Linked DNA regions of Macaca fascicularis. Each later gene encodes a partner of the first gene's protein in a complex. Links are inferred from orthologs where the notes say so. Each region holds a gene or a part of one and is shown in the gene's direction. Other genes may lie near its edges.

Region 1 (4,281 bases):
TTTATTAAGCAACTACTGTATCAGCAAATACCAATGATTCTCAAACTTTGTGACAAAAATCACCTGGATGGTATTTTAAAAAGGATAACTGGGCCCTACCACCAGAAGCTGCTGATTCAGTACGTCTGGGGTGAAACCCAAGAATCTGCATTTCTAACAAGTTCCCAGGTGATACTGATGCTGATATTCAGAACCAACTACACAACCACAATTTGAAGAGCAGTGGCCTAAAGAGGCCTTGCAAGGTAAATTCCGTGATCTCATAGTGATAACTAGGGAATAGAGACCAGGAGGTTTTTTTGTTTTTTGTTTGTTTTGTTGAGACGGAGTCTCACTATGTCGCCCAGGCTGGAGTGCAGTGGTGCAATCTTGGCTCACTGCAACCTCCGCCTTCCGGGTTCAAGCAATTCTCTGCCTCAGCCTCCCGAGTAGCTGGGATTACAGGCGTGCACTACCACGCCTGGCTAATTTTGTATTTTTAGTAGAGATGGGGTTTTGCCATGTTGGTCTATCTAGTCTCAAACTTCTGACCTCAGGTGATCTGCCTGCCTCGGCCTCCCAAAGTGCTAGGATTATAGGCATGAGCCACTGCACCCGGCCCTCAAGTTAGAATTTTAAGCAAATGATCGAAGACTCAAGACACAAAACTACCTGAAAGGAGTGGCTCCCACATTTGTAGGGTACCTTGTAGCTTACAGAGCAATTTCCCTTCATATGATTTTGCAGGTGGTGGGGAAACTCTCAGAGCAATTGTGGCCTGTGCTACATCACCCATTTACCAGAGGTGCTAGTACTAGTGCTCAAGATCAATCGATCGATCGATCTGTCTACCTATCATCTATCGTCCTTCAGTGCTACTAAAAGCACTCAGATCTTCTAACGTCTGGTCCAGTCTTTTACCCCATCACAGTGAGAAGCTGTGCACAGGGGTAACACGGGCAACGGAATTATATTAGGCAAACACAGAGATCCAGGTTTCTGGGGGTAGCAGGGAGGTTCAGCCTTGCAGTCACAAAGGCACCACTGAAAGGCACAAGTAATGGCAGGTGATGAGGCCTTACTTGGGGCAGTTTAGAGAGTACTTCCCACGTGTGATGACATGTGCCACACACCCACCACCACCACTACCACAAATGAAGTGCACACTCCGCCGCTCCTGTCCTCAGGAACCTGGAAGCCCCCACCTGGTGTCCGAGGTGTAGCTCCCGCTTTAAGAGTGGGGCACCTCCTCTCCGGCCTCAAACCTACCCCAGCTCCCAGCAGGCTGCGGCACATCTGACGGCTGGAGACTAGAGCCCCTGGGTGGGGACTCCTTAAGGCTCCTCCCGGAAGCGTAGGGACCTCGCTGCCCACACGCCCCTCCCTTTCCTCCTCTGGCGTCCTGGGGTCTGAGGTGGGCGTGGCCAGGCCGGCTTTAGGTCCAGGGAGTGTCTCGCCGGCCGCAGCACACCCCTGTAAGTGGCGGCCAGGGCTGCGGTGGCCAAGTGAGCTGTCAACTTCAGGTTGACAGGGGTGTGGCCACGACCGCAAGGGCTGTTGTTGCCGGGTGGACCTAACAGGGATGGGACGCTGGGGCCGGCTGCTGGTGTGGTTCAGAGCTGTGGGTAAGTGCTGTCTGGCGGTCAGGGGACCGTCCAGCCAAAGGCACCTTCCTAGGCTTGTGGGTGGCCGGTCGCAACAGGCCAGGTGTCGGTGGTTCCTCCAGAGGCCTCGAACTCTCACAACCACATTTCTCCGGTCCGTGCTTCTGGAGTGCGGGCGGAGAAGTGCCAAGTAGTGCGAATCCCAGAGTCTGGATCACGCAGCTTGGGAAGGAGGAATATTCTTTGGGGTCTCAGCACTGCCTTGGGGCGGGGCAACCAATCTAAGTCGAGGAAAGTATTGGAGAGGCTGCAGGACCAAATTCAGTGCAGCCCCTAAGTTATTCTCTGGGAAGGGCGGTCGAGGAGAGAAACTGGTAGAGCGATCAGCGAGCACCCGCGGGGCTTCTGCGACCGGAGTCGGGTAGTGGCTTCCAGGCTGAGAGGGGGGCTGGGCAGGGTGAGGGGTGTGGCCGCGACCGCAAGGGCAGCTGTTGCGGGGTTCTCTCTTTCTTTTATTTCCTATTTCCACCCGCCTTAATGTCCTGCGCCTCTCCCAACACCTTTCAGGCGCCATTCTCTGCTCTAGCCCGGGGTCCCAGGAGCCTTTTCAGCCGTCCTCACCCCTGCCGCTGGCAAGTCCCGGCCCCCAGGACCCGAAAGTCAGCGCCCCGCCTAGCATCTTGGAGCCAGCCTCCCAGCTGAATTCTCTGGGTGAGCTTTAGGCGCCTCCTTCCTCTTCCGCTCACCACACCAGACCCCTCTGGCCCAGCCAGGGGCTCGACGACCCTTGCCTCACTCCTTGCTCTCAGGCACCGAGGGGTCCTGGCTGTTTTCTACCTGCGGGGCCAGCGGCCGGCATGGGCCCACACAGACACAATGTGATGGGGCCTACGCGGGGACCAGCGTGGTGGTGACCGTGGGGGCCGCCGGGCAGCTGAGAGGCGTGCAGCTGTGGCGCGTGCCGGGCCCTGGCCAGTATCTGTAAGTGCGGGGAGGGGGTAGGGTGGGCAGTGACCTGCTAGTTGGAGGTTTCACCGTCAGGGGAACGAAGGCTACTTGCGCACCGCCTTGTGTCTCGGAGTATTCCGCAGAGAGGTCCACCTTGAGTGCCCTTCAAGGTGGCAATAGTTGCCACCGAGTTAGCCCTGACCCGGACCCTCTTACACCGAGTGGAAGGCCCCCAACCAGGGCGGCGCCAAGGGGTACTTGAGCCTCCCCACATTTCCACGAACCCTCCTGAAATAAGTGTAATATCTGAACTTTTGGTGTGCAAACCTGCCCTTTCCATCCCGTCAGAGTCGATTGCAGCCTCCAAGTCCCTCAGATAAAAAATAATTCTGGAGCCTTCTCTGTTGCCAACTTCTGTTAGCACCGAGGGCCGGGGACTCACCGACCGCTCCCCGCAGGATCTCAGCCTACGGAGCCGCGGGCGGCAAAGGCGCCAAGAACCACCTGTCGCGGGCGCATGGCGTCTTCGTCTCAGCAATCTTCTCCCTCGGTCTCGGGGAGTCGCTGTACATCCTGGTGGGGCAGCAGGGAGAGGACGCCTGTCCCGGAGTGAGCGCAGCCAGTGGGGATGGGGCGGCGCCGGCGCCGCGGGGCGAGGGCTGCCTGGGGGCCTGGGGAGCGTGCTTTCCTCGGTGCCGGGTCACCAGCACAGCGAGGGGAGACTCCCGGGCCCCGCCGATTCCCGCCCCCGCTGCCCGCAGGGTAGCCCGGAGAGCCAGCTCGTCTGCCTCGGGGAGTCTCGAGCTGTTGAAGAGCACGCGGCGATGGATGGGAGCGAAGAGGTCCCAGGGTCGCGGCGCTGGGCGGGAGGCGGCGGGGGTGGCGGGGGCGCCACCTACGTTTTCCGGGTACGTGCTCCCTTCAGCGCTCAGCGTGGGGGTCCTAATCCTCTCCCCAGGGTCGCGCACGCACCCGCGCTCCGTCCGTCCGTTGGGGTCCCCCTATACCTGAGCTGGGCTGGGCTGGGGGCCCCTGCCCTTATCCGGGCCTCCGGGGCGGGAGCCCTCGCCCAGTGGCAGTGCCCCTGGACGGCTGGAGGGCGCGTCCTGGAACACGCCGCTGGTCCCACAGGTGCGCGCCGGAGAGCTGGAACCGCTGCTGGTGGCGGCCGGAGGCGGCGGTCGGGCCTACCTGAGGCCGCGGGACCGAGGCCGGACTCAGGCCGCCCCCGAGAAACTGGAGAACCGCTCGGAGGCGCCCGGAAGCGGCGGGACAGGCGGGGCGGCAGGTGAGGGCGCGGGGCTGTGGGGAGAGGCGGGCGTGCTCCCCGTGTGGCTGCCAACCTTCCTGCTGTCACTCTGCAGGTGGTGGGGGCGGCTGGACGTCGCGGGCTCCCTCTCCGCAGGCCGGCCGCTCACTGCAGGAGGGGGCGGAGGGCGGCCAGGGCTGCTCCGAGGCTTGGGCGACCCTTGGTTGGGCCGCGGCTGGCGGCTTCGGGGGCGGCGGCGGGGCCTGCACTGCGGGCGGAGGCGGCGGCGGCTATCGGGGTAGGTGCACCGTTGGAGAGGGCACCTGAGCAGGCCCGAGGGTGAGGTGATGTTAGAAACTCAGTACAGGCCGGAGCCCTCAGGAGGATAGGTGTGGGAGAGGCATTAAGCCCTTCTCAGCAGCTCCAGGCAAAGCAGGAGCTCTTAGAAAAGGAGGTCGAATATATTGCAAATCAGCATGCAGACAAGACTCCCTATATTTC
Region 2 (3,566 bases), on another chromosome or scaffold:
GGGACTGCAGGCGCCCGCCACCTTGCCGGGCTAGTTTTTTGTATATTTTAGTAGAGATGGGGTTTCACCGTGTTAGCCAGGAAGGTCTCGATCTCCTGACCTCGTGATCCACCCATCTCGGCCTCCCAAAGTATTAAGGATATTTTTAAATGGGAGAAATGCATTCAAGAAATTCTGAAGGTTTTTTTTCTTTTCAGAAATATTCCCAAGAGATTCTAACTTAAAAGACAAATTCATAAAGCATTTCACAGGTAAGTACAAAATTTATCAGTGATTCTATTAACTAAATAAAAAGAATGTGTACAGGTTACTATGTCAGGCACTAGGAATATGAAAATAAATGTCTGTAAGTGACTCATGGTCCAGTTGGGGAGATGGACGGATGCTACTAACTTGTGTTAACTGTAATGTAAACCAGCCCTTAATAAGTAATAGAAGTATGAACCACTTTTTAAGGATACACAGGAAGTGAATAATGTGACCAAGAACTACCAAGAAAGGCTTGTAGTAGACACAGTATTTAAGGTGGGCTTTAAGGGATGAATAAGGCTTTCCCGTGGTGAGAGAGACCTTCTCTTCAGAAGGAGTGCATTGAGTAAGCCATGAAGGCACAGGGTGTGGTTTAGGCAAGGACAGGTATGCATGGACTGTGGGTGGGCTTAGGTATGTGGGGCGTATGTGGCCCTGGTCAAGTATATGGCTGGAAAGGTAGCTTGGAGTCACGTTGTGGATAATCTTAAATGGCATGCTGGGGAATTCAGACTATGTTCCCCAGTCTGGTGAGGGGTAGGGAGAGAGGGGGCAATAGAAATGTTTTGAATAGGGAGGGACAGACTTTCATATACTACATCTTTTAAAAATATATTTGTTTATTAATTATTATTATTATTTTCTGAGACAGAGTTTCGCTCTTGTTGCCCAGGCTGGTGTGCAGTGGCGTGATCTCGGCTCACTGCAACCTCCGCCTCCCGGTTCAAGCAATTCTCCTGCCTCAGCCTCCCAAATAGCTGGGATTACAGGCATGCACCACCATGCCTGGCTACTTTTTTGTATTTTTAGTAGAGATGGGGTTTCACCATGTTGGTCAGGCTGGTGTCAAACTCCTGGCCTAAGCGATCCGCCCGCTTCGGCCTCCAAGTGTGAGCCACCGCGCCAGGTCAAAAATTTTTTATTTTTGAGACAGGGTCTGATTCCATCACTCAGGTTGGAGTTCAGTGGTGAGATCATGGCTCACTGCAGCCTTGAACAAATAGGCTCAAGGGATCCTCCCACCTCAGCCTCCGAAGTAGCTGAGACTACTGTGCCATCACACCCAGCTAATTTTTTATTTTCTTTAGAGATGGGGTCTCACTATGTTGCCCAGGTTGGTCTTGAACTCCTAGCTCAAGTGATCCTCCTGCCTTGGCCTCCCAAAGCATTGGGATTATAGTTGTGAGCCACTGCACCAGGCCCACCTGCCACATCGTAAGCACAGATAAATACTGTCCCATGACACTGTTTTGTTCTTCCTATCAACTTTGTGAATCATTTGCACATCATCCTATGCCCCAATTTCTAGCAAATCACTGAATTATTGTGAACAGTACACCCCCATATTTACTATTGGCATTACCTCTCTGTTCCCAGTCATCCCAGCTACTTTTTTTTCTTTTACACCTCAGGCCTGTGATGTGGGAAAGATGTGGTTTGCCCACTTAGTCAAGTCCAAGGGCCCTACCTGTTTATTAACAGAAAGGATGGTCCTCAGGATCAAGTGGAGATGCACCTGCAGGGCACAGGGATGTGTGGGGATGTTGAGCCTTTTGAGGCAGCTGTTAGTGACATGACTGTGGACCCCACGAGAAGCAGACACCAGAGGGACGGAGGGATGAACATTTTGTTGTTGTTGTTGTTCTGTGTGTTTTTTTTTTTTTTTTTTTTTTTTAAGAGATAGGGTCTTACTCTGTTGCTCAGGCTGGAGTGCAGTGGTGCAGTCATAGCTCACTGTAGCCTCCAACTCCTGGGCTCAAGGATCCTTCTGCCTCAGCCTCTACAGTAACTGAACTGGGACTACAGGTGTGTGCTGCCATGCCTGGCTAATTTTTTATTTTTATTTTTTGCAGAGACAGGGTCTCACTATGGTGCTTAGGCTGTTCTTGAACTCCTGAGCTCAAGTGATCCTCCTGCCTTGGCCTCCCAAAGTGCTGGGATTGCAGACGTGAGCCACTACTCCCCATCCGGGATGAAAGTCTTGATGGGCCCTACCTTGGATTTAAAGGGAGAGACAAAGGACTTCTCAAGGCCCTGCCCATTCCATTTTACAATTATCCTAGACACTAATACGACACAAATTACTATAATTAGAAAATGGAATAAATGTCTTGGCATGTAAACATTAATTGCTTTAGATAAAAACAGAAAGTAGAAACCAAAGATACTTATTTTTTGTACTTCTCATGCACTCAATTTGCTCTCTACAGTCTTTTTATTTTCTGTCCAGAACTTTTTCCTTTTAATTTTTCTACATAGTTGTACTACATGTGAAGATTCCATTATGTGAGATGTTGAGAATGTGGAATGAATTTAGATTATTTTTCATAGACCACAACTCTACCTCCCACAGAGCCTGGGTGGGGGAAGAGCTCTCAGGCATGTTCTTTTAAGGGCATGGAAGTATGTAAAGTGCTGTTATATTATGTCCACTCATAAAGTGCTAGGAAATTTGTTTGGAAAACATGCCTATGTTTATAATAAGCATTCTTTTCCTGTGCTCTAGGGCCAGTCACATTTTCACCAGAATGCAGCAAACATTTCCACCGACTCTATTACAATACCAGGGAGTGCTCAACACCAGCTTGTAAGTAACTTGGGTGGGTTTTTTTTTAAAAAAATTATCCAACAATAAATGTGTGTAATTTTAAACTTCAAATGTCTGTGGATGGGAAGAAGTAGACTAACCATTGACATTCTATTTATAACACTGATTTATAACACTGACAGTACCTAAGGTTTGTGTGTACTGTTGCTGTAAGGAATGAAACCATATTCTAATTGGGAATCTATTCAAATCTGATAATAGCCAGATTTCCTTAAAGACCAAAGTGTTTGTTAGGATTTAAACATTTTATCATGATTCAAATTCTTTGACATAAATAGGGTGCTGTCTCAAATAAATGAAAAAAAAAAATGAGATGACTGCGAACTCTAAGTAAAAATTTTTTCCTAAGTTATTTTAAAGTAAATATTTTTTATATCACATCATTTATATAATGATGCTGGATTTTTCTGAGTAATGATAGCATGTAAAAGTTGCTATAATGAATTCTTTTGGATACTTAAGTTACTGAAGTTAATAATAATTCTAAACATAATATTTAAGCACTATCATTTAAAGTGCCAAAATTATGACTATGTGTGGTAACTCCGTTTGCTGTTTCTAAATTCCTTTCTAAGCCTCAACTTTCCTTTTAAAGAACATGAATTCTAAGCATTTTGTTTCTTTTTAACTAGATTGCTCATCTTGAGGAGTATTGACTTTTACTCAGCATATTAAGTTGTATTTGTTATAATGTTTTTCAAAAACAACT

The links.
Region 2: the proteins of LTK (region 1) and ALKAL1 are in contact, whole or in part, in a crystal structure (PDB 7NX0), measured with the Homo sapiens proteins. The link is inferred for Macaca fascicularis from reciprocal best matches to the Homo sapiens genes LTK and ALKAL1. Residues at the interface, in NP_002335.2 of Homo sapiens: Tyr124, His140, Phe143, Ala250, Ser251, Pro252, Glu253, Leu359, Phe360, Leu361, Gln362, Leu364, Ala365, Val366, Glu368, Glu372, Glu374, Arg376; in NP_997296.1 of Homo sapiens: His93, Arg96, Leu97, Asn100, Thr101, Arg102, Glu103, Arg112, Arg115, Leu116, Arg119, Leu120, Ser123.

The regions. Positions count from the first base shown.
Region 1 is NC_088381.1:18,073,676-18,077,956, reverse strand, and holds the start of LTK (leukocyte tyrosine kinase receptor), read left to right. Parts: upstream 1-1,416; 5' UTR 1,417-1,561; coding exon 1,562-1,604; intron 1,605-2,150; coding exon 2,151-2,294; intron 2,295-2,392; coding exon 2,393-2,564; intron 2,565-2,989; coding exon 2,990-3,140; intron 3,141-3,292; coding exon 3,293-3,439; exon of another isoform or gene 3,440-3,662; coding exon 3,663-3,819; intron 3,820-3,895; coding exon 3,896-4,078; intron 4,079-4,281. UniProt on the Homo sapiens protein: Receptor with a tyrosine-protein kinase activity. Following activation by ALKAL1 or ALKAL2 ligands at the cell surface, transduces an extracellular signal into an intracellular response.
Region 2 is NC_088382.1:62,478,003-62,481,568, reverse strand, and holds part of ALKAL1 (ALK and LTK ligand 1), read left to right. Parts: intron 1-197; coding exon 198-251; intron 252-2,755; coding exon 2,756-2,836; intron 2,837-3,566. UniProt on the Homo sapiens protein: Cytokine that acts as a physiological ligand for receptor tyrosine kinase LTK, leading to its activation. Monomeric ALKAL1 binds to LTK, leading to LTK homodimerization and activation.